4 linked regions of the Alligator mississippiensis genome follow. The protein of the gene in region 4 purifies or fractionates together with the protein of the main gene of each other region. This does not show direct contact. Links are inferred from orthologs where the notes say so. Each region holds a gene or a part of one and is shown on either strand. Other genes may lie near its edges.

Evidence for each region.
Region 1: the proteins of POLR2B (region 4) and DNAAF10 purify together in Homo sapiens (affinity purification with mass spectrometry; 3 studies listed by BioGRID and IntAct, with this or other methods). This does not show direct contact. The link is inferred for Alligator mississippiensis from reciprocal best matches to the Homo sapiens genes POLR2B and DNAAF10.
Region 2: the proteins of POLR2B (region 4) and INTS6 purify together in Homo sapiens (affinity purification with mass spectrometry; 3 studies listed by BioGRID and IntAct, with this or other methods). This does not show direct contact. The link is inferred for Alligator mississippiensis from reciprocal best matches to the Homo sapiens genes POLR2B and INTS6.
Region 3: the proteins of POLR2B (region 4) and CTDP1 purify together in Homo sapiens (affinity purification with mass spectrometry; 3 studies listed by BioGRID and IntAct, with this or other methods). This does not show direct contact. The link is inferred for Alligator mississippiensis from reciprocal best matches to the Homo sapiens genes POLR2B and CTDP1.

The regions. Positions count from the first base shown.
Region 1 is NC_081824.1:217,097,201-217,104,631, forward strand, and holds the start of DNAAF10 (dynein axonemal assembly factor 10), read right to left. Parts: upstream 3,177-7,431; 5' UTR 3,110-3,176; coding exon 2,921-3,109; intron 50-2,920; coding exon 1-49. Other genes in the region: RNA-binding protein PNO1, read left to right, coding at 3,340-3,546, 5,038-5,187. UniProt on the Homo sapiens protein: Key assembly factor specifically required for the stability of axonemal dynein heavy chains in cytoplasm.
Region 2 is NC_081824.1:416,203,211-416,211,345, forward strand, and holds the start of INTS6 (integrator complex subunit 6), read right to left. Parts: upstream 3,202-8,135; 5' UTR 3,053-3,201; coding exon 2,942-3,052; intron 2,858-2,941; coding exon 2,780-2,857; intron 2,679-2,779; exon of another isoform or gene 2,599-2,678; intron 2,301-2,598; coding exon 2,151-2,300; intron 1-2,150. UniProt on the Homo sapiens protein: Component of the integrator complex, a multiprotein complex that terminates RNA polymerase II (Pol II) transcription in the promoter-proximal region of genes.
Region 3 is NC_081826.1:112,945,356-112,953,258, forward strand, and holds the start of CTDP1 (RNA polymerase II subunit A C-terminal domain phosphatase), read left to right. Parts: upstream 1-4,850; 5' UTR 4,851-5,051; coding exon 5,052-5,365; intron 5,366-7,903. UniProt on the Homo sapiens protein: Processively dephosphorylates 'Ser-2' and 'Ser-5' of the heptad repeats YSPTSPS in the C-terminal domain of the largest RNA polymerase II subunit. This promotes the activity of RNA polymerase II.
Region 4 is NC_081825.1:140,546,540-140,554,229, forward strand, and holds the start of POLR2B (DNA-directed RNA polymerase II subunit RPB2), read right to left. Parts: upstream 3,183-7,690; 5' UTR 3,071-3,182; coding exon 3,052-3,070; intron 2,206-3,051; coding exon 2,133-2,205; intron 1,623-2,132; coding exon 1,472-1,622; intron 1-1,471. Other genes in the region: NOA1 (nitric oxide-associated protein 1), read left to right, coding at 3,928-4,951. UniProt on the Homo sapiens protein: Catalytic core component of RNA polymerase II (Pol II), a DNA-dependent RNA polymerase which synthesizes mRNA precursors and many functional non-coding RNAs using the four ribonucleoside triphosphates as substrates.

The sequences.
Region 1 (7,431 bases), on a different chromosome or scaffold from region 4:
AAGACGAAGCGCCAAAAGTTCCACATTTAATGGGCTTGGGCTTTTCAATCTTAAAAGAAAAAAAGGTAACTTTTTTTTTTTTATCAGCACATTAAAGTGATCACCAAAACACTACTGCAGATACAGAGCTTCTTAGAAGTCAGTTCAGGCAACCCTCACCATTCACGGGTGATACATTCCCGTGATCCCCACAAACAGCAAAATCCATGAATGGGGCACTGCGCTCATGAACACAGTGCCCCCAGCACCTGGGGGGTGGGGCACGGCTCCAGCGGGGACGGTAGGAGCCCGACAGCAGTGGCAGAAGCCCAGCAGCAGCAAACGCGGAGCTCCCAAGGAGCTCCGGTAAGTGTTCAAAGTGTATTTAAAATGCAGGTTCAGCATTTGCGAATATCTGAAACTGTGAATGCTGAACCCACAAATACCAAGGGTTTCCTGTATAAAATGCAAATTAAACCTTCTATAAAACAATACAGTATTTACGTGAATCCAAGATGACTTCAAATTTATGATGACCCCCCCCAATAATTAGATATATATGAAAAATTTATAAATTATGATATATAAGGGCTTAGTCCATCTGTGTGTCAGTCTGTAACTGTAACGCTCTTGGGGGCGTGGCTCCAGCCAGTGCTGTGTGCAGGGCAAACTGCCTGTCAAGAATGATGGCGGGGACACAGCAACGGTGCAGGGATGGGGAGAATGACGGTGAGGACAGAGCCCCTGCCACCCTGCTCCTTGGAGGCGACAGCAGCATGGGGTGGTGGCAGCACTCGTCTCCCCCCCCCCCCCCATTCTTGACAGGCAATTTGCTAGTTTGTAATTTTCCAAGTATAGAATCTAATTCTTGGAGGGTCATCTTAAATTTGTCCCCCCCCACCTCAGTGGTGATAAAAGCAGTGATGGGGAGGCAAGCAATGGCAAAGGAGCAGGCGTCAGTGTGGCAGGTGGCGGGGGTGTCCAATGGCATGGGCGACTGGTGCCTCCTGAGTCAGGGGGGCACGTGCCCCCCCAGCAGCCAGTCAGCAACCACGGCGGGGGAGGGGAAGTCCCCCTGCAGCCGACTGCGCCAACTGGGGGGAGGGGTCTCTTGTGGCCCATCTTGCTGACAGGGGTGGGGAGTGTCCCCTGCAGCCGCTCATGCGGACCTGAAAGTGCAAGCGACACTCCTGCAAGTGCCAGTGGCGCTTTTCCTGCTACCCCCACCAGCCAGCCAGCACTCACGAGGGGGGGCCACCAGCACTTCTGCCTGCCCCCCCTGCCTGTCTCCTAATTGGAGAACACTGGCTGTTAGGGGGTACACCAGGACTCTCAGGGGGTGCATGTGAATCCCCTACATGTCATCACCGTCCAATGGACTGCTCCCTGCATCTTGCGCCCCTACCCTGCTGCTTGCCATCTGTACCCCCTCCTCACTTGTACCTCCCCACCCCCTGCCTCCCAACACTTATCCCTGCCACTTGCTTGCCCACCACTGCCTGTGGGCCCCACCTTCCTGGTGCCACTTCCCTCAGTCATGGCTCTAACTCCAGCCCCCTGCCCAGCCTGGCAGCAGCAGTTGCAGCGGTGGCAATTTCAGCTCTGGGTTGAAGCCAATGCAAGAGCTGGTGCCATCACAACTGGTGCTGCTAGGCTGGGCAGGGCCAGAAGCCAGCATGTACTCTGTGCCCCAGGCCAGAGCTAAAACTGAGCACATAGGCAAGGGAGAGCAGAGGGGCAGAAGGAACAGAAGCAGAGATGAAGGGGCAGGTTGTGGGGGTGGCTTGGGCTGTGGCTCTGACTCCCAATTCTGAGACCAGGTCAGGGCTGGGCTGGAGCCACAGTACCTGCCTGCTCCCTGCCTTGTATTCAAATCCAAGATGAGTGTCTCCCCCCATACTGAATGGAGAGGAAAGAAACCTCGTCTTGGATTTGAGTAAATATGGTAATTCTCCTCCCCTGCCGTTGCTCACTAATAATATTCAAAGGCTGACAGGTCTGTGGTCTCTAATGATTTGCAATTATAAAGTAAGGCAAATTTGAACTCATCCCAGAGGTCTAACAGTATGTACAGAAGAGATAATTAAACTATTCTTTCTATTAGTCTGAAGCAGCCCGTGCCCTCCATGTGTTATCCCTACAGAACTGTGAACCAAGAAAGTTTATGCACTCCTGCCCCCTGGGAACTTTAACTCCCATGCACCCGAGACACTCCCACTCCTGAAGATTAGCAAATCCTCAAACGTTACTTGCATTTTAAACACGGACTTCTCACGTGGAGCTGCAATGTACCTCAAAAGCTGCCACCATGCCTGCAACTTTGAGCAAAGCCTGAAACAGCCAGCAGGAACAACACAACCGCATCCCTCTGGGGTACTTGACTAACCAGAACTCCTTCATTAGATGGAGAAAGGGCAGCAAATCTTGAGCTTATGGCAACTGTGGGCCTGACAGAGGGCAACGTGTCCAGTAAAGGAAGTCTGTGGCATTTTACTTGCAAAGGAAAATCTTGAAAATAAGGAACGAAGTAATAGCAGACGAGCATCAGGATGGGAGCGGAATAAAGGAGCCCGTTCCCCAAGCTGAAGGAGCAGGGCAGAGAGCAACCAGGCTACCCGGCCTGCCACAAACTATCCCTGCGCCCTCCCTGCCAGTGTCACTCTGATCCCCACCTGATCCGCTGCTCTGCTTTCTGCTCCCCACCATAGCGACTTTTCTGCTTTCTGCTCCCCACCATAGCGACTTTTCTGCTTTCTGCTCCCCACCATAGCGACTTTTCTGCTTTCTGCTCCCCACCCTGTGCTCCCTGCCCCTGCTGGAGCCGCATGGTGCGCCGGGGGGGTGGGGGAGAACGGGACAGGACGCTTGGCAGCCCGCCCCAGCCCACGCGTCGCCATAGCAACCAGCCGTTTTCCTCCCCCCCACCCGGGGCGGCGCGGACCTGGCGCAGCAGGCTGAGGCGGCCGCTCTGCAGCTCGTAGAGCTGAATGATGCCGGTGCCGCGCGGGAGGCTGCCGAGGCAGAGGAAGCGCGCGCTGCGCGGCACCCAGAGGGCCTGGAAGGCAGTGTAGTTCAGCGCCTGCTGCAGGTGCGCAATCAGCTGTGGCTTCTCCAGCCCCGCGCCTGACATGCCGACCCGCCTTGCGCCGCGCCGCTCACGCGCACAACCGCCCCTGCACCCCCCTGGCAACCCGCCGGAAGCGCGTTGAGAGCGCAACATCCGGTTTAGGCTTTCCCCGCCCTGCCGCCGGACGCGCCCGTCTTAGGGAGGTTACTTCCGCCTCTTGGGGACAGCCCCCGCCCTCCCCCTCTCGCGCGCATGCGCATAGGACGCGCGGCGGCCCGCAGCGCACGTGGGGAATGGAGGTGACGGGACACCTGCCCGGGGGGGCAGCCAACATGGAGACGCAGAGCGCCGTGGAGGTCGACGGCGGCTTCACCGGCGTGGTGGCAAGAGGCAAGCGGAAGCGGCGAGCGGCTGGCGCGAGCCGCATGGACACGGCGGAGCCGCGGCCCAGCAAGAGGCCCAGCTTCCCTCCCGCCGCCGCCCCCACCGCCGCACTTGGGGTACGTGAGGCAGACAGGGGGTTTTCCCCCTCCCCCGCCGCGCCCGCCGGGGGCGGGGCCTAGGCGTGACGTGTGTAAGGGGCGGGGCGACCCCCCTTCTCCCCCCCCCCCCGGCGTGTAGGGGCCAGGGGTTGGGCAGGCCCTTGGGGAAAAAAGGGGTAACGGCTTCTGCATCCGGACTTCCGAGTCCCTGCGGTCCTGTAGATGCTGGAGGCTGCCAGTGGGAGAGGAAGAGTGAGTCCTGGTCAGACCCTCTGCCCGCTCCCTTTCGGTGCCTGCTTGCTGCCCCAGTGTGACGCTCGTTGGTATCTTTATTCCACCCATAAAGTAGCCTTGCACCCTCACTGTAAAGTGAGATGCGTGCCCAGGTAGTTGGAGCAGCTGCCACAGCCCCCTGGCGCTGCCGTCTTGCTGACAGCATTTTGCCCAATTTAGAGTCATAGAAAAGTGGGGCTGGCAGAGACCCCCAGAGGTCATCTAATCCAGTTGTTTATGCCTGGACACGCACAGCAGGACAGGCCTCCTCTTAGGCCTGTCTGCCGCATGTTGGGAACATGGATGTTATGCTTGCAGAGCAACAGTTAGCCCTTCCTGTTTATAGAGGGGGCTGTTTCGTATGTGTTAACTGAATTCATGAGACAAAACAGGAGTGAAGGTCAAAGGTTGACAGTGAGCTCACTAAAAGGGGGCACTGAGACTGGGCAAGATGGACCACCTCCCTCCCCATAAACCAGTTAGTATATGAGGTGCTGCCCTGCCTTCTGCAGTCCTTACCTTAGAGGTAAATCATTTTACAGGACATGCAAGTGGCTCAACCTTTACCCAAATCCACACTGATGCTACATTGGCTGAGCTACAGCTGAAGAGCTCTAGATGGGAATGAAGTAGGATTCAGCAGAGAAACCTCATCAGGTTTCCGGTTTAAAGGTTGATGTCCTTGATGGCAGCCTTTGGTCCTTAATGCAGCCCCTTCCCAACAAGTATTACTAGCACTTTGCACCCCAGCGCAAAACTTAGGCATAACATTCTTCTTTCACTGCTTGGTTGTTTGGTGGATTGTGAGTGTGGCAGTCCTGCAATCCACTGTCTGTTGGACTATTATTCATTCTGTTCAAGGGCGGGGAAAAAACCTGTTGGTGACTGAGCACACTGACAGGCCGTCTTCTAGCAGCCAGCGTGTCAGCATGGGTTTGGGGGAAGCTCGGGGCCACTTAATGTGCTGCACATCTCAAATGAGTTCTCACAGGACTGCACAAAGCAGGGCAGCATCTTGGAAACCCACTGATTTGGTGGGGAGGGGACAGGCCTCTCATACTGGTCAATTGTGCCTCCTCAGACCAGTGGGGGTGGGTGGCCTGGGTAATTTTAGAAATGGGTTGGACAAAAATGTGCATGTGGGGGTTTTGGAGAGGGGTGACCCTTATTTTGGGATCCATGGGGCATTAGTCTAATTTTTCTTTTTTTAAGTAAAACTGAAATCCCTTTTTCTAGGGTGAAAAAGTTGAAATGAGGAAAATCCCTGTACCAGCAAACCGATATACCCCTTTGAAAGAGAATTGGATGAAAATATTCACACCTGTTGTGGAACATTTGCAACTTCAAATCCGATTTAATTTAAAAACAAGAAATGTGGAAATCAAGGTAATGGGAAAGCTCTTTCTCTTAGTTTTTGCAAACAGTGTATCACTTTGGTTCAGCTGGGATGTGAAATACAAAAAATTGTAATGTGTAGAAATATTTTAATGATTTAGACCTTAGGTATTTGCTATAGGAAGCCAAATGAGAGCATTGCAAAAAACATATCCCAGTTAAAAAAGAGCAGTTACTGTTTTGAGGTAAATAGTTGACATAAGTAAAACTTAAGAACAGAATTTTATTCCTAGGACTGACTTTCATGCTATTTTTGTTTCTCTAACTTTATATCTCTCTAAGGAAAAATTATTTAGTTCTGGCACTGAGGAAAAATCCTGGGTATGGTCCAGCTGCTCAATCTTTTTTAAGAATTTAATGCATTATGGATGTTTGAGGCCACATACTGCCTATCTAGTTTTGAGTCAGTGAGACTTTTCTTCATTGTAGTAGATTTTTGCCTGGAGGCTACTGAGGTTGAGAACCACTGACCTAAGAGGCACAGTCAAAAAACAATATTTAAGTAGCTGATTCAGGATGAAATTCTCAAGTGCTTTTCTGTGAGATCATCAGGTGACAATCAGATTGATCCAGACCAAGAGTCTGCACTGCTTCTCACATTAGGTTATTTCTACACAAACTCAAGTTTCAAATCTCAGATTCTTCTGCTGTGCAAAAAGTGTCACAAAACTATCCCCATCCTACCTCCAATATGTCATTTATAACTGCAACAGCTTTGTAAGCTTTCTAGAAATGTTGTATGTCATCAGAAACCAGACCTAGTAATCTGCATTCCCTTGCGTAACTGGTTTGCCATGTTATAGCCATTGGAAAAAAAAGAGAGGCACTATAGATAAAAATAATTTAGCCGCCTCTCCTCTGGTAGCTGCTACAATGCTCATTATACAGTTTGCTGCTATCAAGAAAGATGTTACACCAGTAATGTACAGATTTCCATCCTCAAATTTGAAAATGTGACTTAATACATTTATCAAGATGTGTTTCAGATTACCACAACACTTTCACATCTTGATAAACGTATTAAGTCACATTTTCAAATTTCTTTATTCCTTTAATATGATAAAGATGCCTAATTTTGAAAAGTTTTGTAATTTGGTGTTTTGTGAGAGTATAGGGTTTCGTTTTTCAGAATTAGCAGAAAGTATGATTACATCTTTGGCATTGCTCCTTGATAACAAAGCATGGATGTGGTATTCAAAGATTCATAGATGCTAGGGTCGGAAGGGACCTCAATAGATCATCAAGTCCAACCCCCTGCATAGGCAGAAAAGAGTGCTGGGTCTAGATGACCCCAGCTAGATGCTTATCTAACCTCCTCTTGAAGACCCCCCAGGGTAGGGGAGAGCACCACCTCCCTTGGGAGCCCGTTCCAGACCTTGGCCACTCTAACTGTGAAGAAGTTCTTCCTAATGTCTAGTCTAAATCTGCTCTCTGCTAGCTTGTGGCCATTATTTCTTGTAACCCCCGGGGGTGCCTTGGTGACTAAAGCCTCACCAATTCCCTTCTGTGCCCCCGTGATGAACTTATAGGCAGCCACAAGGTCGCCTCTCAACCTTCTCTTGCGGAGGCTGAAAAGGTCCAGGTGCCCCAGTCTCTCCTCATAGGGCTTGGCCTGCAAGCCCTTAACCATACGAGTGGCCCTTCTCTGGACCCTCTCCAGGTTATCCACATCCCTCTTGAAGTGCGGCGCCCAAAACTGCACGCAGTATTCCAACTGCGGTCTGACCAGCGCCCGATAGAGGGGAAGTATCACCTTCTTGGAGCTGTTCATCATGCATCTGCTGATGCATGATAAAGTGCCATAAGCTTTTCTGATGGCTTCGTCACACTGCCGACTCACGTTCATCTTGGAGTCCACTAGGACTCCAAGATCCCTTTCCGATTCCGTGCCACCAAGCAGGTCATTTCCTAGGCAGTAGGTATGCTGGACATTTTTCCTCCCTAGGTGCAGCACTTTGCATTTCTCCTTGTTGAATTGCATTCTGTTGTTTTCTGCCCATTTGTCCAACCTGTCCAGGTCTGCTTGTAGTTGTTCCCTGCCCTCCGGCGTGTCCACTTCTCCCCACAGTTTTGTGTCATCCGCAGACTTGGACAGAGTACACTTCACTCCCTCGTCCAAGTCGCTGATGAAGACATCGAAGAGTATCGGTCCTAGGACCGAGCCCTGTGGGACTCCACTGCCCACACCCTTCCAGGTCGATACTGACCCATCCACTACAACTCTCTGGGTGCAAC
Region 2 (8,135 bases), on a different chromosome or scaffold from region 4:
AGGTGGGGCTGGACCCAATGACCTTGCAAGGTTTCCTTCTAGCCCTAATGTCTATGAAATCTATGAAATGGAAGCCCTTGGCAGTCCAGGATGTAGCATTTGCCAAACATATATATATTAGTGATTAAACAAACCTTTCCTAAGTTTAAGCATCCTTTGCCATCTATGTATATAGGCGTATATGTGCACACACGTGTGCACACGCGCAAAGGATGCTTAAATTTAGGAAACATTTGTTTAATCACATACACAAACATGTATATCCCAGAAACCTTTCCCCAACTGCAACAAATGGAAGAGGTTGCAGCAGTTGATGAAGTTTGTAAAATAAGCAAGCTTGGAAAGACTTGCAATCAAGGAACTACAGACAGGTCTGATCCACCTCAGATGAAAACAACTTCATATTATCAAGCACTGCTTCATAACAACAACCAGCCAATGGGAACATCAATTCACCCGCCCATCTGAATGAAAAAAAGAAACCCTAAACTGGCTGGCTCACTCAGGATAAGTAACTTAATGTGAGCATCATCAGTTTTCATCAACATCCATAGTACAAAGTCGGCTTCTAGTGTTTTATGCCTGGGATAGCAATTTTTTTGTGACAACATCATGAGACTAAGCCAGAGGTATCAAACTCATTGAGCCCCATGGGCCAGATGAACTGGAACAGGGCCAGTTCACAGGCCAGATAACTGGTATGGTGTCATCCTACAGGCCAGACAGGGCCCACAGATCAGTTCCACAATGGTGCAGGCACTGTATGCAGCACACCCTGGACCAACCCCACATGCTACATGCAGTGCGGGCCAGCCCCACATGCAGTGCATGGATCCAATTCAGCACACGCTGTATGAAACATGTGGGGCCACTCTCCATGGGCAACACCACAGGCCATATCTACCTTGAGGGCAATATCTTTGACACCCCTGACCTAATTCAACTGACACAAGAATTCAGGGAAGAAGAAAAAAAGGTGAACATGCACATACGTTAATAGATTTAAAAAAGTAGCTCTGTATGGGAAAGTAGTGCATTTCAAAGTTTCACTAATCTATCTACATTCAAAAAAATATTGAGGGTGACTTTCATCTAGTAGTAATGCAACATGAGAAGTCTAAATGCCCCTCCTAGGCAAGAGGAACATGACACTGAAGAGGAGACTGTATATTCAGATTTAGAATTCCTCTGTAAAGCACCTGATGTCACTTGAGTAACTCCAGTTGACCAACAAGAAGCAGCAACCATTTCTTTGCCATTAGAGGGAGGGTTACATCACAAGAGGAAACCAGGAGAGGAAATGTGAGATAACATGTCTCAAGTACAAAATATACAATTAATATGCCTTCTCAAATGATCAGGTTTGCTACTCACTACTATACTAAACAAACCTATGGTTTGCTTCATGTTCCTAATTCCTTATGTTCTAGGCTAAACAGGAATTGAACACTTCCCACAGCACGTGCTCAACTTGTGAGAGAAGGAACATTGTATTGTGCTCCAATACATCATAATAGTGCACGTAGAGCTTCTTGTGGTTCTTATATAGGGGTCAGAAACTGAATGATCTGGTGGTGTACAACAGAAGTGAAGGAATATGCTAAGAAAGACGACAAAATCTGACACGCAAGATTAAGTCTCTGCTCCAATTAGCCTAATATTTGTGACTGCTGCAGCAATAACACTTCAGAAAAAAGCTAAACTCCCAAAGCGCAACCCTACTGATGGCACAGCACTGTACATGAAGACGCTTCCTCCTTTCATGAGCCTGGTGGCAAATCAGCTGCTGACCTGAAACAAAGGTTTTAATTACCTGGCTCCTGATAAATGTAAAAGAAAACTGACAGTCATGGTAACTGGAAAAAAAAAAAAATGACAACTTCAAAAGGTATGTTAGTGTTCAAAAGGTGAAGAAATATTTACAACTATTAAGGAAAAACCAAACTGAAGTTGGGTAAAAACTACGTCCTGCTTGGGGCTGCTCTGATGGCTGAATGGTTCTTTCAAAGTAGCCCCAAACACTTTCAACTGCAGTGTCATGAAGGAAGATCATTTTTGTCAATGAATCCTGTATGGTTTTGTGAAAGCTCCAGGGTTGGTTTTTTGAGGGTTTTTCCTTTAGGTGTTCCCCCTATTAACCGTCAACCTACCTGCCCATAGTTGTCTATGCCAGTTACTAATCTATTTAAGTTTAATAAATCAAAAGCGGTCCTGAGGGACTGGCCAAGAGTTGTCAGTCCTTCAGCCTGCAGGTTTTTCAGCTCGCTCATAAACGTTGCGTGGTTTTCTTTCCATCCGGCCTGAAAAGAGAAAGGCAAGAGAGGGGCTTATCCCAGGATAGTGGGGGGCTGGGATTGCCCTTCCCCACACAGGCTCCCACAGGAGGGGGTCCCTCTGGGGACAAGGCGAGTGCTTCCCAGGGCACCCTGCGAGGTGCCAAGAGGGCACTGCCCCCACCCTACCCCGGGGGTGGCAGCAGGGTGAAAGAGATGGGAGGGGGCGCAGGGAGGGGAGGAGAGGTGAGGAGAGCCCCCCCCCAGCCAGGCCCGGAGCGAGCGAGTCGCTGTCACTTCTCGCAACTCGCGCCGGATCACCCACAGTGCCTTGCGGCTCGCGTCCCGCGCCGCCAACATGGCGGCCATGTTGATGTCAGCGCCGCCGCGGCCGGACACCAGCGCGGCCGCCCCGGCCCCGGCGCCGGGCGGGGGGCGGGGCGGGCGAGGGGGTGGGGTGGGGGAGGGGAAGGGGGCGGAGCGCCGCACGCTCGATGGGGCTTTACCTTGATGGCGTAGGGAGGCTCCTCGAAAGTGACCAGCATGTACCTGTCCCCGCGGCTTGCGGGGTCCCGGGCGCGGAGCTGCGGGGGGGGGACAAAGCGCACGGTTACCCCGAGCCGGCCCCGCGCCGCCCCGCCCGCGCCCCTTCGCTCCCCGCCCGGTACCTTCATGAAAGTCTCTACCGCGCCTTTGGCTACGTCCAGATAGGTGGTGCCCAGATGGGTGCGCTGGTTCATGGAGGCGGACGTGTCTATCAGGAAGAGTAAGATGGGCATAGTGCGGAGCGGCGGCGGCGCCCGCGGCGGGCGCTACATGGACAGGGCGGGGGCCGGGGGCGGCGCGGGGCGGATGCGGGGCAGTGAGTGCTGTGCACGGGGCGCTCCCGCCGCGGGGTAGCCCGGCCCGGGCCGCCTTTGTGTGCGGGCCCGCTCGGCCCGGCCCGGCCCGGCCGCGCGGGGGGTGAGGCGCAGCGGGCGGGGGCTGCCCGGCTGCTGCTGCGGCCGCCGCTCCCTCCCCCCCGTGGATGTAACTCAAAGTTTTGGGTGGAGCTGCCGCGCGCACCCCCCACCCCAGCACTTTCTGTCTCTGACTGAGGCGCTTCCTCGCTCGACTCCCCCTTTTAAGGCAGCCTGGGCAGGTCGGGCACCGCCCCCGCAGGACACGTCCCTGCGACACGTGATGACCTGCCCGCCGCGCCATAGGGCTCCCGCCGAGCTCTCATTAGCATATTCAAATCGCCGGGGGGGGCGGGGGAACGGCGGTTGGCGGCGAGCACGCGCCAAGGCCTGACGGGGGCGCATGTGCACTGTGGCCGCTCGCTCCTGCGCTGGGGGGAGGGGCGCGAGAAAAGGGGCCGGGGGAGGACGGGGCGGGGACCCCGCTCCTTCACCCGCGCGGGTGAGTCACGGGCTATGGGCAGGTCCTGCCGGAGGGTCTTGGGGCGGGCCCGGCCGACTTGGGAGCTGCGTTCTGTAGAGCCTCGCGGCCGTGGCCTCCCCACAACTCAGCCCCTACGACTGGGCAGGGCGGGGCGGGACCTTCCTCCCGGGCGGTTGCTTCGCCCGCGGCGGCGGCGGCGGCGGCAGCCCTGAGGCGGAGGTGGCGGCGGTAGCCCCGAGGCGGCGGGGCGGGATGTGTGCGGGCGGAGGCGGCCTGGCCGCCCTTCCCTCAGCGCGGTTGCGGGTTGCGGAGCCGCGGCGCTAGCCTGGGGGAGGCGCGGGCCCGCCCCACGTGCAGCGCCCGGACACGTGGCATCTCCTCCCCCCCCCTCCCGGGGCCGTGTCACGGCGCCGCCCCAGCCCGGCCGGTGCTGCGTGGGGGTGGGGGCCACGGGACCCACGTGCGCTGCTGCCCGTGGGGGCGGCCCGGGGCGACCTTCGGGCTCCGCCGAGCCGCTCGCCTGGATGAGTTTGAGGCCCCTGCGCCGGGGCTGCGCCTCGGCATTGGGCGGCTCCGTGCGATCTGCTCTCGGGGCACAGGCATTGTCTCCCCGCTCGGGGTGTGCGCAGGGACTGCTGTTTCCTACCCGAGCTGACTTCCCCTCTTGTGCCAAAAATGGTGCTGGTTCTGATCTCCCCCATCATCCCCACTGAGCCACTTGGCTGCCTCAGACAAGGAATCAGCAGTGCCCTGGCCTTGTTCTGTGTCCCCACCCCTGCACACCAAGGCCTACCTTTGGTCCAACGTGCTTTATTTGGGGCCAGATAAATGCGAGGCTGGGGTTTAGGGCTAATTTCAGGGGAGCAGAGGCAGAACTTCTTGCACCCGTTGTTGCTGTACTGGTAGGTATAAGCAGATCCCTCTTGCCAGCGCTGTGTTAGGTGCTGCATTTGTGATCCGCCCAGCAAGATGACTCCAAAGGCCTTTAAAAGGTGAAAACAAGCCCCCGGTTGCTTCCTGTACCCCTGGCTGACACTGGACCTTGCCTAGAAAGGGTCCATGTTTAGCAGTGAAGGAGGTGGTTTCTAGGGTTCCATGTGACTTAACTGTCTTCTTGATGGGCCATTGCCCTACTATAAGTAACTGTTTCCTCTGAGAGAGGACTGCGTGAATCTTGCTGGAGGTGAGTGGCTGGCAGTTATCTCCCTGTGGTGGGAGGGAAGGGGGTGACAGGGATCAACCTTGAATTAAGGCTATAGGAATGCTGTACAAATCAGGGCTCATAGCAGCAACTAGGGAGTGACATGAAATAAAACTGCATACTCTGCTATAACTGGCTATCTTGTAAAATTGTGATAGGGACATTCCTCAGACATGCCAAGGAGGTTGATTTGGGCCTAGATGGCTGCTATAACTGAAGAACTATTTTACTTTGTTCATAGGGAATCCTAGTTCAATCCGATGCCCTTTTCAAGTAGCTTGTTCCCTAGACCCATCTTTAAAGGCTACAGATAGTCAAAGTGACCTTCATAAAACAAGTCAACGGTCTTGTTTTATGTAAGTAGTCCATAGCAGTGTAATAGAAGTGACTTCACTCGGGTATCTCAAGCTTTCTGCGTGAGCTGTGAGAAAAATCTACAGATAGCATATAGAAATATGGTATTCTCCGGGGCAAAAGACGGGAGAGGGCAGTTTAAATGCCTATCGTTCCAGTGTATTACATGAAGAACAGTCCTTATCAATGAGCTAGGAAGCCAGAAGATCAAATAATTGCCTAACTCTAACACTAATCTGAAATCTAAAGGTAAGAGCTGTTCTGTTTCACTGCTGTGGGTGGCAAGATGGAGCTTAGACAGTAGGAGTCATTTTGCCTTCCAGGGTTTAGGCCCAGTGGACGTTGCTGGCTGAAAGAATCTGGTATTGCATGCACGGAACCTGGGCATCTACAGCAATATCCAGAGACATGCTTAAGAAACATACATACCCACTGTGACTTTGAAGCTGGCTGCTGGAATCACTGCAGGCAGCTGGCACAGTCCCGTCTTCATGTAATACTAGTATTTTTTGCCTTCCCATATTAGGTCACTTGTAGATACAGAATCAAGGATGCCTTTGTACTGCCTATGCTAGGCATTTGTGCTTTTATATTGCAAGCTGGCTATTTTGATTATTGTTTAAGAAAAACTGAGCAAGTGAAAAGTAATTTGTTTAAAGCATTTCGCAAGAAGGTGTGACAGCAGCCAGCTTGTGATGCAAGAATCCTAGTGTCTAGCAGCAGCATCCAAGTGATATTTATAAATATCTCCCTGTGCAAAAGGATATACAGAGGAGCAGAGCAGAAAATAGCGACCTTAGTGGTCATGTTCATTAGTGCTATAGTAGCCATATCTGAGCATAGAAGTTTCCTTGAGTTTTAACGACTGAAAATGGATGCCACTTTTTTGGGCTTCTCAGCTTTGTTACATTATAGGTATATTTATACTCAGAATGACAGTTCCCCGTAATCAGTTGTTTTATTTAAAATTTAAAGGAACAGTCTATCTGAAATATGCTCTCTCACAATTGTGACAAGCAATGCCTAAGAGTATTGTCACTGAAGGATAAGAAAGGGTTTTGGTTGTTTTTTTTTAATGTATTCATTTTATACATAAGCTTTTCATGAGTTCTTCGTAGTAAGTTTTCCTGGTTGCTGTATGAAAAGCCACATAAATACCAAGGAATCTTTTTAGTTCACAAAATGCAGCATGGGAACTCAGCAGCAGGGGTAGCACCTGAAACTATTTTGCTCACTCTGTGCTTCAAAATGAGTGGTGTCCCTTTAAAAACTAGTGTGGAACTCATTCAAAATTGCAAATCTGGCTTTAACATTAAACACTACATGTACAGAGACACCGTTTTGAAATAAGTAGATTTAAAACTGAAAATATAAACAAGATGTAATACTTTTGTAACACTTGCTATTATTGAATAAATTTTACTTCAGTTTTCTGTTCCTCCTGTTTGATAGTTGGATGTGATGATAATCTTATATAACATAATATGCTGTCAGATCTTTTGTCATAAACTTCAGGCTTGACTAGAGGACGCTGTGTGGAAGACATTTATATAGATCATGGAACTAGAACTTTTATTCTCCCCTCAGTCCAATATTGTTCCATGAAAATCTTTCAGTATTTTGTTCAGCTCAGTTTTAAATGATACAAGTGATGGGATTCGCAGATTCCCTTAGAAGACTAAATCAGCAGTGAAGTAGATCTTGCGAATACTCTGCTTAAGTTTGCCTTTGTTCATCCTATTGCTCCTAGTTATGATGCATCCATTTAGAACACATTTAGAATCCATTTACCCCTCAGGGCAGGGGGTTGGACTCCATGATCTAATAGGTCCTTTCTGACCCTAAAAAAAATAAAATCTATAAACACCCTAAGCCAGGAGTGGGCAAAATACAGCCTACAGGCTAGATTTAGTCTACAGCGCCCCTAAAAAAAAACATAGAAAATGTATTAACTGTGTGGCTGCCTGTTGAAGATAAGGCAGCAGGGCCCAGGGGCAACTGGTGGCGGAACCCAGCAGCTGAGCAGTAAGGCTGGCCCAGCTCCACCCTGCCCCCAGACTCCACCCCAGCCCCCAACCGGAAGTCTTTGTGGCTTCTGGCCTGGTGACCCTTTAGATGTTCCCTGCCCTCCCTCCATCCAATCTTATCTAACTTTCCACTTGGATGGGGGGGAGTGGGGGGTAACGACCGCTGCAATCAGCCAACGCAGTCTGGAAACCATGTGGTGCTGACCAGGGCAGGCTGGAGCAAGAGCAGCCAGCAGGCAGGAAATGGCAGAGGATGGAAAGCTGTGGCAGCAGGCAGGGAGTCAAGATGGGCGGGAGAAGTAGCAGGAGCAGCAACAGCTGGGAAGTGGTTGGAACAGTGGCAGGCAGGCAAGTGGGAGGGAAAGCAGGGGAGTGGCGGGCAGTGGCACGGAGCCTGTGCCAGTGCCTTGGGGCTGGCATGGACCCAGGGTGGGGTGGCAGGAGCACAGAGCCTGGGCACAGGGTCTGCCTGGCTGTATTGCATGAGGCTCAAGTGCTGTCCATGAGAGCTGCACACAATGGAGCTGGGAGCCCAGCCCTGTCTCTGTCCCTCCCACCCCACCCACCATAGCCCCACAGCCACCACCTCAAACACATACTTCACACCCCACTCCCCAACCACATCCTTCCACATACACTCTCTTACTGCCCAGTAGGACCGTATTTTGAGCTATGCAAGCACATATAAATCAGGACAAGAATATTTTTTAATAAAATTAAAATAAGTTATAGATGTTTTATTTTTTAATGTATGATTTTTTTTTTTTTGGTTTCAAGATAGTAGCGCCCTTCTTCCCAAAAGTAGTATTCCCAGGGCAAAGGGAGGGACTTCTGGTGGTAAAGGTCAGGGGTTAGAGGTGGGACATCTGGTCTCAAGGTGGAGCACCTGTCAAGGGG
Region 3 (7,903 bases), on a different chromosome or scaffold from region 4:
CCCGCAATGCTATGGGCTGGATAAAATGGATTCCTTGGTCAGATCCTGTCTGTGGGCTGTAGGTTGCTCCAGGCCAGATTCTTCTATACAATTTGGTATCCCTGTGATATCCTTCTGGGTCCTCCAGTGTAAACCTGTCCCAAAGGCAGTTGGTGCCTTCCTAGGTGCACTGGTATATCTCAGCAAAGCACAGCTGCTGAGTCAGGTCACCCGGAGCTGCCAGAAACACACAAATGGTCACATGCTTTGTTTGCAGTGGCAGCAGCTGTCTGTTGCCAGAACTTATGTAGGCAGAACCAGGTAAGTCTAGATCAGACTTCTCTTCTCAACCAGGGTGCTGCAAGTTCCTTTTAGGGGTGCCACAGGGTGCTAGCCCTCTTAGGTGTACAAACAAGAGTCACAAGATAAACCAGAGATTTAAAATAGGAATCCACTGTGTGAAAACCATTCTGCCGTGCTGTGGCCTTTCAGAGTTCTTTGTAACGCAGAAGAATGGCTCTATTATTTTTCCATAGTCAAAAAAACTATGTTCCTCCAAACTATACACTGTTTTATTGAGGTATTAGCAATTGGGCAACATGACCAAGAGCAGCTACATACAACAGAGAATATGTGAACATACAAATTACTAGGTGGTAAGGACTCTGTGGGGGAGTTTTATATATGTGGTGAGGTTTCCAACAGCAGCCTGGCTGCCAGCTCAAAAAGGGCTTTAAGTGATTGGTGGGGCATTCTCACCAATCAGGTGATGACAGGGGAGGAGCCTGCCCTGCAGGGGGGGGGGGCGCGAGGCACAGAGCTGGACCTGGTTGAAGACTGCACATCCCCTCTTCCTGATTGGTCCATTCACAATCCAGGGGCAGAACCTCTGGAGGGAATAAAAGAGCAGCATGCCTGGCACATGGGACTGCTGTTGAGGAACGGAGAAGAGGATGGACAAGAAGAGGTGGTGAGAGCTGGCCAGCAGGGCAGAGCTGTTTCCCCAAGAGCCCCAAAAAACGCCCTCACTGGACGGGAGTAGCAAGCAGCTGCATCCCCAGTCCTGCTGCTGAGCACAGCAAACCGTGTACAGCTCAGTGCACAGAGCAAAAGACCCTGGGAGCTGCACGAGGCAGCCAATGCTCCCTATAAGGAGTAGTGGTCTGTGAGTGTGCCGCCTCAGTCCATGAGCACGCTGCTTCGGTCTGGTGTGGGACACTTACCAAAGGGGGCCGGGGACTGGGGCCTGGAGCTGAGAGGCTGGGGGCCAAGGGCTGGAGCCGAGAGCCTGGGGGCTGGAGCCGAGAGGCTGGGGCTGGGTGTTGGCTAGAGGCTAGTCCCTGAGCTGATAGGCTAGAGGCTGGGAGCCGGTGGAGCCTGCCCCAGCCTCCATCTCTGCCTTGCCTCAACTCAGGGAGGAGCCGCTGCCTGCCCCAAGTGAGGCTTTGGCGGTTCCGGGACACTGCTCCGTTCCCCGGCCCTGATGCCACATCTCCCGAGGCCATGCAGGGGAGCAGAGCAGTTCCCTGGAGCTGGCAGACCCTCACTCGGGGCAGGCAGTGGCTCCTCCCCGAGGTGAGGCAAGGCAGGGATAGGGGCTGGGGCGGGTGGCTGGTGTGGGCTCCGCCAGCTCTGGGGAAGTGCTCCACTCCCCGGGCCTGATGTGGGGAAGCAGAGCACTTTCCCGGAGCTTGCGCCAGGCTCCCACCCCCACCTTGCCTAGGAGCTGACCTTCAGCTCCTCTCCTGGTGCACGGCCTTGAAAAGGCTGTGCATGGCCACACTTTTAGTTGTGCGTGGCCATGCACGTGCGCACTTTAGAGGGAACCTTGGAGGCAGCTCTGGTCTATCCCTGGCAAGTGGCCAGGCTTTTTGGTGCACAAGCGGTGCATGGAAAGATATCCTGGGAGCTGATTGGGCAACTTGGGTCTCCGACCCATGGCATGAGGCCAGAAAACCTGGTGCAGATAGCGCTGCACAGAGGGTCCATGAGCGGACCCAGACCCTAGGAGCTTTATAAGGCAGCTCGGGTCTTCCACCCCGGCATGAGGCCAGGAACTTGGTGCAGGCAGTGCGGTGCAGAGGATCTGCGAGCAATCAGAGACCCTGGCACTGCACAAGGCAGCCCAGCTCTCCAACCGTAAGCAAGAGGCCAAGCCCTTGGTGTACATGACGGTGCACAGAGTCCTAAGGGGGCAGTATCCCAGAGAAAGCCCGAGGAAGCTGGGCAATAGGTAGAGCTCTCAGTGCACCTAATGGTGCACAGGGCTATGGGCAGGCAGGTGGCCCTGGGGAGACTAGGAGGGTGGTGAGCCTGTCAGAAGAGGAGATGCTTCGCTGTGAGTTACCAGGAGACAAGAGATTCCCACAGGGGAGGAGGGCTCACCTGGCACACAGGTCAGCGCATGGAGAACCGCCTTGGAAGCAGCTTGTGGCTGCTCACATTAGCCCCGGCCCTAGGCCGAGTGACCGGAGCCCCACAGTGCAGCTCCACTTTAAACTAAAAGAGCCCTGGTGCCCAGGGCAGGGCCTGGGAAAGGGGAGAACCCCCAGTGTGAGACTGGGGAGTTGGAGCCTGCAAGGGCTTGGCTCCTGCAAGAGAGCGAACGAGCCCTGGGTGCCCAGCGCAGGGCACCAGGCTGTCGAGGAGAGCCGAAGGCACCGCTGGGGAGAGGCTCTTGCAGGATTGGCCACCAGGGGATGAGCATCGACTTCTCCAGAGAGGAAGCATAAGTTACTGGGGAAGTAGGCCCTGCAGGGGAGACTGACACAGGTGAGGAGGGTCTGCCACCTCCACCCTCCATTGCAGGAGGTGTGTGTCCACATCCTAAGGGCCCTAAAGGTTAGGGGTGCTTCAGGGAAACCCCCTGGGGAGGTGCTGAGTGCACTCCCTATTTTGAGGGTGTTGTATTAGGGGCTATATAGCTAGAGGTATTCTTTAAGGGGGTTTATGTGTTTTAATGTCTCAATGTGTATATTAGTATTCTTATTTCTGAAGGTTTAAAGAAATATTATGGTTAAGTTACTATCCCTGTGTGTTAATTGTGCTGTATAGGTTGTAAGTTATTTGGTTCATATTTGGTATTATATGTTAATTGTGGAATATTATATATAGTATTATATGTTAAGCCTTGTAAATATTCTATGCTTTATATTGTTTGTATTTATTCTTGTAATAAATTGTACATAATTAAGTATTTGCTTTCACCCGAACTCTATGGAGAGGGGAGGAAGCTGTTGTAGTAGCTGACCCCTTCCTCAGCACCCTGCCTGACCACCACTGTCATCGGGGGTGAGGGCACACCGCCCCAGGTGTACCCAGGCTACATATATATTTATATTTCTCTTTATGGTTCATGATCTTAATAAATGTGTAAATAGTTAAGTTGTAGTGTCCTGGCCTGGCTCTATAGGGAATGGAGGGAAACTGTTCAGTGTGCAGTTTCCACCCACAGCGCACCTGCTAACAATCCCCTTCAACTGGAGAAGGGAGTACTTACCCGAGTACACCCGGGCTACATGCAGCTCAGGTTGATTTCTGCATTCCTGCCCATTCCTCTGAGATGAGGATCTCTAGGCCAGATAAAGAGGGAGCAGGCAAACTGAATCAAGGCCTGTGACCTATATTCTTTCCTAGGAGCACTTTAATTAGCCTGGGGTGTGATAATCACTGGCCTGGGCGTCTTGACACCCTAGAAACTGTCCCTTACAATCCGCTTCTCTCAGGCTAAGCATTAGGATTCAGACTGAACCACTCCCAGGATCAGTCTTCCTCCAGGACACTATAATGATACAGCCAAGAGGGGCGAGGGCCCTTCACAACTCCCCAGCACCGAGGGTCTGCTGCAAGTTGACAAAGGCTGAGAACCACCCACCTAAGAACCGCACCCCCCCCCCCCCCAAGTCTGCAACTGTACATGTTGTATGGTCTTGGGAGAAGGCCAGAAGCAGGTGATTTTTGCAGCAGGCATCCCTGGCAAGGCAGGCTTCGGCAGGTGAACAGGAGTCTCAGCCTCTACCTTCTGGCATGGTGGGGGGAGGGGAAAGAGAGAGCAGGTTCCTCAGAAAATTAAGGTTGCAAGGGCCCTTAGGGGGGCATCCAGTCCACCCCCTGCTCAAAGCAGGACCATCCCCAACTACATCATCCCAGCCAGGGCTTTGTCTAGCAGGACTTAAAAACCTCCAAGGATGGAGACACCACCACCACCCCTCTAGGTAACCCGTTCCAGTGCTTCACCACCCTCTGAGTGACAGTTTTCTTCATATCCAACTCCTGCTCTTCTTCCTTCGCGCCCATAACACTGAGACTAGAACAAGGGCTGTGATCAGTTTCCCTCCGCTGCCCCCTGCATAGCAACAAAAGGCGCCAGACGCAGTCTTGCCACTCAGCAGGCGAGCACGCGTGCCTAGGACCAGGGTGCCCCGCTCTCCAGTTTCCTGCGTGCTTGGGTTGAGATGTGTGGGCGGCGGAAGCGGCCGCTAAGACGTGCTGTACCCCAGCAGGGCTTTTATTTCCGTGCTACACGCGGTCCCGCCCGCGCATTTGGAACTGCGCCTCCACCCGCTGAGCACGCTCATCTCCGAGCTCCCCCACCCCGCCCCGCCTGGAAACTACAGTGTCCAGCATGCACCGCGCCTGGCAGCTCTATGTTGGCGCCCACCTGGATACTACAGGACCCAGCATGCACCGCGCCTGCCCCTTGCGCGCGTCTGTGCGCGCCGCCGCAGTGCAGATTGGGACTGGTAGTTTGTGGTGTACAAGCGGGGAGTTAGGAGGGAAAAAAAAAGTACCCGGGAGCGTTGCATGCCGGGAAACGGCGGTTCCTCCGTGCGCGTGGATGCCCCTTGACTTACGTTCCGCGTTACTGTCCCTTTTAAGCGTGGCCGGGCGCTGCGCCTGCGCAGTAGCACCGTGACCTCACGCTCAGGCGGTGGCTCGTGACTGTTGAGCTCCGTCCCGTCCCCTCCCCTCCCCCCGCGGCGGTGGCAGTTGAGCGCGCGAGTCCCGGTTTTGAGCCGGCGGCGCGAGCGTCGCCATAGCGACCCCCCCGGCGGCGGGAGGACGGACGGGCCATGGCGGAGCCGGCGGTGACGGAGATCCGCGTGCCGGGCCCGCGGCCGCTGCGGCTGCTGGAGTGGAAGGTGCCGCTGGGGGCGGCGGTGCAGATCGGGTCGGTGCTGGCGCTCTGCGCTCCGCTGCCCCCCGCGCCCCGGCCTGGCGCCCCGGGGCCGCCTCCCGCCAGCGCCGCCGCCGCCCCGGCGCAGGGAGCCCGCAGCGGCGCCAGCGCCCGGCCCCAGCGCGCCGGCAGCGAGCTGCGCCTCAAGGCGGAGCGGCCCGGCGTCGTGCGGGAGCTGTGCGCGCGGCCCGGACAGGTCGTCGCCCCGGGGTGAGCGGCTGCGGCGGGGCGGGGAGGGCCCATACACGCACGGGGATGGGCAGGGACGGATAGGTAGGTAGACAGACTTGCGCTCTTTTCATTTGCCATTGAGCCACTCTATGAGAACGGGGACAGACACAGAGGCACGTAAGGGTGGGCGGGCAAACAGATGGGTACAGGTGCATAGGCAGGTGGGCAGACAGCCGCCGCTGGGACCTGTTCCACTCGGCTGCAGAGCGACTGGAGCCCCATGGTGATGACAGGTTGTGTCTCGCGTCCCACCTCACTGGGGTGGCTTGGCCTGGCCCCACATGCTGCGCTTAGTGGGTGATGCCAGTGGGGAAGGTTGAGGAGGTGTTTTGGGGCAGGCAAGGAGCAGAGCTGGAGCGATTCCCCTGGCCCGGGATGGGGCACTCAGGGCTGGCACATCATCCGCAGAGCAGCGCGCTCTGCTTTCTCACGCTGTAGAAGAGCTGAAGCAGACTTGCACGTGGCTTGTTCTTGGCCCCTGATGTAAGGATCTGGGAGCTGCCACAGCGTGTCCATGCTGTTGTCTAGGAGTTCATCTTCAGGCAGCTTATTCAGTTCTGTTTGTAATTTGTGTCCTAGAAGAGCACCAGGGATCAAACAGCAAAAGTCTCCAGCTTCTTTTTCTACCCCACGTTCAGACTCATACTGATTGCAGTAGGTTTTGCCTTCCTCTGTAGTGGGGGCATGGCCCTCGACCCAGGATTTCTTGAGCAAGTATTACAGCATTTCACAGAAGCAGGATGTGGGATGCCGTGGTTCCCCTGCTTTACTTGTGTCAGGTTAGGGTGTCAGGTCTGTGTTGTGGGTTGACAGTGGTTTTACAAACCATTTAGATTATGGACTGCACAGGATAGTTTGGGTAGGGATGATCTTGCCTCAGGAAGGGGGTTGGAGTAGATGACCTCTGGAGGTCCCTTCCAGCCTTGCTTCTTCATGATTCTTGTTTGGCTTAATAAGTAAAAGCTGCCTTAAACTAGCACCTTGCAAGCTGGAATGCTCAGTTAACCGGCATGCCGGCTTGTTAAGGTAAAAACAAAACCGGAAGTGCCCACCGTGGCACTTCTCATTTCACCGAGCCCCCACAGCCCATACGCTGCCAAGCCCCCACAGCCGAGGGCATAGCAGGCTGCACGGGGCCTGCCTCTGTCTTGCAGGAGGGGCGGCAACGCCCTGGACGCAGCAGGAGAAGCGGCGGCCCAAACAGGCAAATGCTGGGCCTCTCAATTAACTGGCATATTTTTGTTATCCGGCACCCCCCATTCCCCATGGGTGCCAGATAACAAAACTTTTGCTGTATAATGTTGGATTGTCACTTGACAGCCAGGTCTTTAGCGGTATGATGACACGACTTAGTGGGACTCGTGTTTACTACAACGTCGTTACCATGAACACTACGATATTTTAACGTATAGGGTGTGGCTTATAAATACCTGGGTTGACCAGTTCTCTGTATTTGGGTGAGCAAGTATGTGTGGTAATTTTGGGGGTTATTTTTTTTTTTACTCTTTAATCTTTGTTACTGAATCTGAAACTTTGTTTCAGTAACCTTGCATACAAGCTTCTCCTGAGTGACTTGTTTACTATTCTTTTTTTTTCTTTTTCTTTTTTTTTAAGAACTTAAAAGTAGTTTCAACTTTTGAATGGGATCTTTCAGCCCTGTAGGTTGTTTGTCTAATGACTTTCCTACCCTTCACTTCAAGCAGATCTTCTCAACAGGAAACCATTGAAAGCTTCTACTTCCTTTGTTTTATGGTGGCAAGTTATTTTCTTTTACTGCAGTTCTTTTGAGACAGATGGATGCATAAAGGCCTGAGTTTGTCTTACTGAAAGAAAGTGGTATTTGTAGAAAACCTGTGTAGCTAGATATTTTTAAAGCTCCAAGAAATATGTGTCAAAACATGTAAGCAAGCTGAACCTTTGATAGAAATAGTAATAGGAAATGCATATATAAATGCAGTGAAGTGTGCTCCTGGTTCTTGAAAGCACACTTTTTTTTTTTTTTTTAAATGATTGTGCAAGAGAAAAAGTGTGGGCTTCTACAAGTGTTGTTTTGGCACAAGGCAGCATATATTGGTGATGAATGTTTTATGGCTATTCATCTGAAACAGACGGAGAGAAGGTACCTCAGAAGTTACTGCTTACTTCCTTGGGGGCTTTGGAAAAGTCCATGAAAAGAGGATATGAAAACTAAATCCTGGAAACAGTAATATAATTTGAGGGTCAGGTGCAGACATAGTTATGTGTCTGGACCAAAATCAAGAACATTTGTGGCACTGCTGGGTATTAAAAAGTTGAACAGTTGTTTCTTTTACTTTTAATACCTAACATAACAAAGACTTTGGTGGTTTAAGACAGCAGGGTTTTTAGAAAACAGTATACACTGGAATATGGGTTTATGTTAGATTTGATGCCAGCAAATATAAACACTTCATTTTGTTACGTGGAAATTGGTATGCTCAGTACTTGTGCTGGATTCTCTCACTCTTAGTCCAGTTGATCACAATTAGCAGACATGTA
Region 4 (7,690 bases):
ATGGCACACATGCCAGGGGTTGCCTACCCCTGGTCTAAGTGGAGCATTTTGAAACTCAGTAATGATTTTCAGATGCCAGGAACTGAAGGCTGATGTACTTCCTGTGCAGTGGATTCACTGACATATGAAAATTGGTTATGCAAGTCAAGCATAACCAACACAAAGGATCACTGTGAGGAATCTGGTGAGATATGGTGAGCAATACTGGGCTAAGGTATAATCCCCCTGTCTTTTCTGGTAGCACACCCTAATTCCATTTTTAAAGTGGTATTGTATTTACATATGAATACACCCACTTAACTGTGGGTATTTTTTCCTGAGAAACAAAATTGCACTCCTTGGGTATCACTAGAACTTGCAGGGGGTTGGACCAGATGATCTCCTGAGGTTCCTTCCAACCCTAATTTTCTGATTCTATAACTTTTCTGTAGCAGTACGCAGGGCAAAATGTAAATGCAGAGGAGCCAAGCCACTTGCCTTTGGTAGCAAACCCAAAGGCTGTTTAGCTTCACAGGCTTAAAACTAGGACTGCCCCTCTACATAATATTACAGCTTACTCTGCTACACCAGAAAATGCTTTGGCAGCATTCTATGACAGATTTCCAATAGCTGAACTATTTAAGGCAGTTAACAGTGGCTCAATTTAAACGTCACTAACTAACCTCTGGTGTCAGCTTTCTAGGTCAAACGCTTAGCTTGATTTGCCAGTTCCAAAGTCTTTACTTAAATGAGCTTTTAGCTACCATGAGTGGGATCCACATGTACACATACAAAACCTCTTGCTATCTGTTTTAACATCCTTTGCAACATCTAACTCAAACTGACTTTGGCAATTTGTAATTTATCCCTATAGCACTTAACCTTTAAGAGAAAACCGTCTTTACTAATTAGATCTTGTTTCTGTTCCTCATAGGCTCTCTACTCACAGGGAAATTGAGACACACCTCACCTAAGAGGAAAAGGAAGTTTGATTGGCTTGCTCGATTTAGCAAAACAGCAGTCTGATTCCCATTCAGCCTTCATCTAACAATACTAACCTACAAGAACACACGGGTATAAATTATCCGTAAATAAGTGTAAGCTGTTAATTAGAAGGTTCCTAACCAACAGAATATTGAGATTCTGGACCAGCCTTTCAATCTTACGTTTGATTACTTGCTCATTCTAACTGTCCTCTGTCAATAACATATTTCCTTGCAATTGTATGACATCGCAGTAACTGAGAGCCTGCTGCTACAGCCATTTAACTGTATTCTTGGTCTTCTGATGAAAGAAAAAAAGAAGTAGCAGGACACAGTAACTTTCCAAGTGGCAGGAGACTTTATGCACTGCAGAAATACACAGTTAAAAGATGAAACAGAACTAGCATTTCCATTCTTGTGAAACAAGAGTAATATCAGCTGATTGAGGTAAATACTATTTTAGTCAGTACACCTGAAAAACAATGAGACTCTACAAGGTCTCCTCTTACCGGCTCTTCCACTTCTCCTGTAGCATGCTGAGCTTCAGCTTGTAGATCAATAGGCGGTGCATCTTCAACAATTCTCTGTACAGACATCTGGATGAACTCATCAAAAGAATCCAGCTGCTGTCGGACCAAGCCCTTCTCATCAAAGTAGGAGCTTAGGGGAAAAAACAATGTACATTCAGTTACTGAACAAGAATTTTTATTTTTTTTAAACAAAATATGATACTTTGGAAGCCATGTTTAAAAATCCACAAAATATGTACTGTCTCTTCAAAACCAATCACTGAAATATGAAATGAATTTGTTTATTTTCTTCTCCTAACAGAGTATTCAAATATGGCCCTTCCAAGAGGAATTGCCAGGACACAGAACAGGATCTAACATGTAAACTAAGTGTATCCTAAGGAAAAAAAACTGCACCGAGTTCCCACAACTATCTTCCCCATTAACCAGACACAGAATTGCAAAACAACTAATCTTTGGCAATTTACACATAAAGCAGCTGTGTACCGCTTTTCAGCTGGTCTTGTATTCTTAAAGTGACAGCATTTATGATTCTAGACGCAGTTCTGGAATTTCCATCTAATTCCAGATGAAATGTATCATATCAGAAGGTCAACCTCAACTACTACCAAAATGCCTTATTTAAGTTTCAGAAAGTTACCTAATAACAATCCAGCATGCTTCTTGCCACAAGTCAGGAGTGATTTCATCATCGTCTTCATCATATTGCATATCTGACAAGAACGCAAAACACTGAAATCAGACTAAGAATTATCATGTGTCCATACACTGGATATCCATTAGCAGAAAAAAAAACTTATTTACATACAGCTTTCCAATGAACTTAATACAACAGGCAAGGCTACATTGCCCTGTATTTCAAATTGAATACAGAAGTCTTTATTCGTCCATTGGTCCTTAATAGAAAGGAGGAAAAGGCAATGGTATGGTGAATACCAGTAAAAGGTGAATACCAGCAAGTCAGTCTGAACTCAATGCAAAGACTGAGGGAAGGGGCTGGAGGCTCCCTGCTTCTGATAGCTAGGATGCCCCTTCAGGGGCCCACATCCAAGAAAAACAATGCCCGCCCTGGCAACCCACTCAACATCACCAGCTCTCCACCTTTTGGCATTTCTTTCTTCCGATGCCACAGCCCCTCAGAAAACACTGGCTCCTCGCTGCCACTGATTCTTGACCAGGGGAAAAAACACTAGGCCAGTCCTGTGTGACCCCGACTTGCAGGAGCAACCCCATCCCCAGGCGGCTTTGGATGGTGGGGAGCCCCTATTGCATCTGGCACACTACATGTGGCAGCTCCCTGAAGCGAAGCAGTGTCAGCTCTGCTCTACTCCTGTTTGGCAGGCTGCCCTTTGAAAGCCTTGAAGGTGCACGAGTTCCAACCTCCCCCCAGAAGTCGCTGCGTTCTGCACAGGTTTGCGGGCGCACGATGCGCCAGGGGAGGGGAGGGGGGGCGCAGAGCAAACCCACGTTCTCTTCCCCGCCCCGGAACGGAACAGGCCTCCCCCCGACTGAGGCAAGAGTGGGCCCCGGTGCTCCCCCCGCCCGCGCGGCGCACTCACCCTCGTCCGCGTCGTACATGGCGGCGGTTGGGGCGAGGGGACAGCTCGGAACAAGACAAGCAAAGAAAGCAGCGGCGCGCCACCGGCTCCCCAGACAGCCGAGCAGGGAGTGCGCATGCGCTGGGAGCACTGCGGCTGCGCCAATTCCCCGGTCGCAGTTCCGCGGGCTACGTTACGTCCTTGCGTTACTTCCGGGTCGGTACTACGGCTGAGCAAGAAACCGAGCCTTTGAGCTCCGCCCACCAGAGAGAAACGGGAAGGGGAAAGCTTTGGTATGCGCGCATGCGCTGTGCTCACTTTCCGCGCCGATTAGCGCGTACCACTCTTTATGAAGGAGAAGGGGGGTGTAAATTTGGGCCGAGCCACCCGGAGTCCTGCAGGCAGAGCAGCCTCGGGTGGGGAGCTCCCCGAGGGTGCACTGTTGGGGCTCCTCTTGCCCCGCCTGCTGCTCCACTAGGTACGTCTGTCGGCGGGGGCTCCGCTGTGACTCCCTGCGAGCTCCTTCCGGCGTGTGCATCCCCCTGCATCTCTGGCTGCAGACCTGTGCGCTCTGCCTCTGCCAGCCGGGAGACACTCGGGATTCCCATCTGAAACCTGCGCCTTTGTCCCGAATGTTGGGGACACTCGGGATTCCAACTTGGAACCTCCACCTTTACTGTGTGCCAGGCAGGGCAGGCGGCGGGGAATCAGCGCCCCCAAAGGCGGCTTCAGCCGCTGCGGAACTTTCCCCCCGCGGGAGCTGGGCGCCCAGCCCAGCCCGGGGCACAGAGCCCGTGGCCCGCCCCCAAGCGGCTCCGCCCCGCCTCGCCCCGCCCCGCCCCGCCCCGCGCTGCGTGCTCCGGGCTCCCCACGCGGGTGGCAGCTACCGCCGCGGCCATGCACCGCCTTTGCCTGCGCCGCTTGCTGGTGGCTGGGGCCCAGGCCCGGGCCCGAGCTCTTGGCACCCCGTTCAAACTGCGGCCCGGGCTGCGCTGCCAGCCACTGCCTGCTGGGCTGGCCTCCGTGCCGTGGGACCTCCTGGGGCCTGGCAGCAACGAGGAGGAACTTTTCGTGTTCCCAGAGTACCTGCCGGAGGAACTGGAGAAGCCATGGGGCACTGAGGTGGTGCCGAAAAAGCCCCCCCGGGAGAGGCGGTGCCAGGAGCGGAGGCAGCACAGGCCAAAGGGGCAGCCAGATCCATCCATGCCAACCAGCAGTGTGAGCTGCTCGGGCTGCGGGGCAGAGCTGCACTGCCAGGACCCTGCCATGCCAGGCTACATGCCCAGTGAGAAATACCTCTCCCTGCTGGGGGAGCCTGAGGGCCAGGGAGGGCTGCGGGGTGCCGTGTGCCAGCGCTGCTGGCTCCTGGTACATCACCAGCAGGCACTGCGCCTGGAGGTGTCACGGGACCAGTACCGCAGCCTGGTGAGCACCGCCCTGCGCCAGCTGCCCCGCCACGGCCGTGCCCCACTGGTGCTCTACGTGGCCGATGTGCTGGACCTGCCTGACACGCTGCTGCCCGACCTACCCGAGCTGCTGGGCCCCACCATCAACATAATGGTCCTGGGCAACAAGGTAGACCTGCTGCCTCCAGACTCACATGATTACCTGAAGCGCTTTCGAAAGCAGCTGCTGCTTAACTGTGCCCAGGCGGGCATCCACCCTGTCACCAAAGGCATCAGGGGTTCAGCAGGCAGGCAGCACCTGGTGGACATTCACCTGATCAGCGCCAAGACGGGCTATGGGGTGGAGGAGCTGATCTCCAAGCTGCAGGGCTCCTGGAAGTGCAATGGGGATGTGTATCTTGTGGGTGCCACCAACTCGGGCAAGTCCACCCTCTTCAACACCCTGCTCCAGTCCGACTACTGCAAATCCAGAGCCTCAGAAGTGGTCAACAGAGCCACCGTCTCGCCCTGGCCAGGTCAGAGCTGGGGACTTGTGTCTGTTGTCCCATTGTGCTGCAAGCCCTTCTGGGCCAAGTTGTCTTTGGGTTTTATTTTCTATTTGTTTTGTTGTTACTTGCCTCCCTGAACCAATGGTGGATGTGTTGGAGGGTATGATGGGACAGGTCACTCTAGATATACCCTGTTCAGCTCTCTCCTAAAGCAGGGGTGTCAAACTTGTAGGGCCCCACAGGGTAGATGAGCATACCTGAGCTATTCTATGGGCCAGGCTGGGACCAACCCCCTGTGGAGTGGCTGTAGCACCAGATCCAGCCCCATACAACATGCGCTGGCCACTGGGGCTGAATTGTGGCACATGCTGAAGGAAGCATGGGAGGTTGGTTTGGGGTGCTGCACGCAGCCTGTGTCTCAGGCCCCCTGTGCTGCATGCAGTATTAGGTCCAGCCCACCTGCCATGGGCAGCACACACCCTATGCTAGCCCCAGGGCTGCATGCACAGCAAGCCTCAGGGCTACTATATGCTGCACACAGCACTGGACCAGCCATGAATGCTGTATGTAGCATGGGGTTGGTACAGGGAACACTCTCTATGTGATGTCCTGTTGACTGGCCTTGCATGCTGAGTCCAGGTCTAGAAGGGCGTTGTATGGAGTGCATCTCCCAAGCCGGCCCCCTGTGCCACGTGCAGCCTGCATGGCTGGTCCAACCCGGAGTGCCATATGCAACATGTGTTGGCCCTGGGACTTGTGCACAGGGCCCCCAGGACCAGCACATGGCACACGCTGTCTGCAGAGCACAGGCAGGATCCCAAGGGTCTGAGGCATGGGCTGCATGTAGTGCCATGGACTGACCCCCTGTGCTGCCCCCAGCACACATGGTATGGAGTCTAGCCTGCACACCACATGCAGCCTGCAGGGTTGGGGCCAGCACGTAGGATTGGTCCAGAGACCCAGTTTGTTCGACACAAGTGCTCTAAAGCATCCACTCCTGTCACTGTCAGAGATATGCTACTGGGTTAGATGGACCACTGGTCTGACCCAGTGTGCTAATAACTTATGTTGAAGGCCCAGTCACCTACCAGGACCCCATTGTGCAAGATGCTGCACAAACTCAGAACATAAAGAAAGCCCAATAATATGGCCCAGCTCATGGCCTGTCTTTTATCCTGACTCTCCTTAGGTTTGTCTCCTATTATGTGGTTTGTTTGTTTTTTGCAAATGGACCCCTTCCTTGTACAGTGCACAGGAAGGAAAACAGTGCTGCAAGGGTTGTGTAGTAGTGATGCAGGTGGCTGTGTGATTTCTGGGTCCCTTGTTTTAGAAATTGGAAGGTATCCAGTTAGTGAAACAGAAGAAAAGGAACGGCTTAGTGGTTCTGGCAGTTGAAAACTGGATCCCATCTAAAGACTTCCTCTGTGATACTAGTACTGATACTTAAACCAAAATGTACACTGTTGAACACTAATCATGCATCACTCCTGGTTGAGTTACCAGGACCTTGATATGCAGAACTGTTGGGCACTCACCTTAGTTAGCTATAACTTTGCATGGAAAGTGTTACATAATTCTACAAACTGAAAAAAGCTGGACCCATCTCAAAGTAGACATCCAGAGTATTAGACACTTGGTTACTTGTCCTTCATCTCTGCCTCAGATTCTGATCTGTAAATTGGAAATAATACTACTCTCTTTTTTTTTTTCACAGAGTTGTTGTGAAGATAGATTCACAAATGTTTGCAAACTACCTTTGGAAGTGCCCAAGAGAAAATGTGTAATTCTGTGTTCAGTGCAGGCTTTAGATGCTGTGTAATAAATAAAGGTTACAGCTGCACAAGTAACCAAAGAAACATACAGCTACCCATTCAGTGGGTATCATTTAACATGGACAGTGAATGAGGCAAGGGATCAATGCAAAAAACAGGATGTGATAGATAATTAAAGATTATGATGTACTGCATACACACTGGGGAATGAATTAAGGTTGCACAAGAAACCTTAATTCTGGCACTTCCTAATATTTTAGTGTTCCTGGCCTGTCATTCAGTATTTGATCTCTCCCTGTCCTGTCCCTTTTTACCTGTGTGCGTGTGTCTGACTTACACTGCTGAAGGCAGAGGGTGGAGATGCACCCTATAGACTTAACTAAATCAGAGATGTATAAGCTTTAGTAAGATGCCTGCGACTTATTACAGGAGTTTTTGCTGAAGAGCCTTGTCTGAGATTGGGTTACAGACTTACATGAAATGCTGCCTGCTTATGTGAAGCTTTCAGCTTCTCCAGAAATTCACAAGAAAAGATTCTGTACTTTGCAGCTCCCACGCCGAGCAGTCAGCACCTCCTGCATCTCCAGGAATTCTTCATATGCACTCCTCTCCCAGGCAGTGTCACCGGAGCCCCCATCTCCCTCATTCCAGGACTTCATGGGCAGCAGCACTTGAGGATCCATCACCACCACTTTTTCCTTTCCCAGGCCTGCTGTGGCATGGAAGGGTAGGGAGGGAAGAAGGATGACCTGTAGAGCTTTAGAAATGGAGTATTCTATTTAACTTTTAAGCCTGGTAGTTTTAAGTCAGGATAGAGACCCTTAAATGTATATCTGGTCCTTTAGTGATGTCGATTTGTTGGCATTGGCCTAGACTTGAGCATATTATATATAACTTTGCCAAACACATGATACTAAGTCTACTTGGGGGAAAGCAATATGTTTGCCTGCATTATCCAACAGTAAGCAGTGTGCTTTGAAACGGAGGTCCCCCA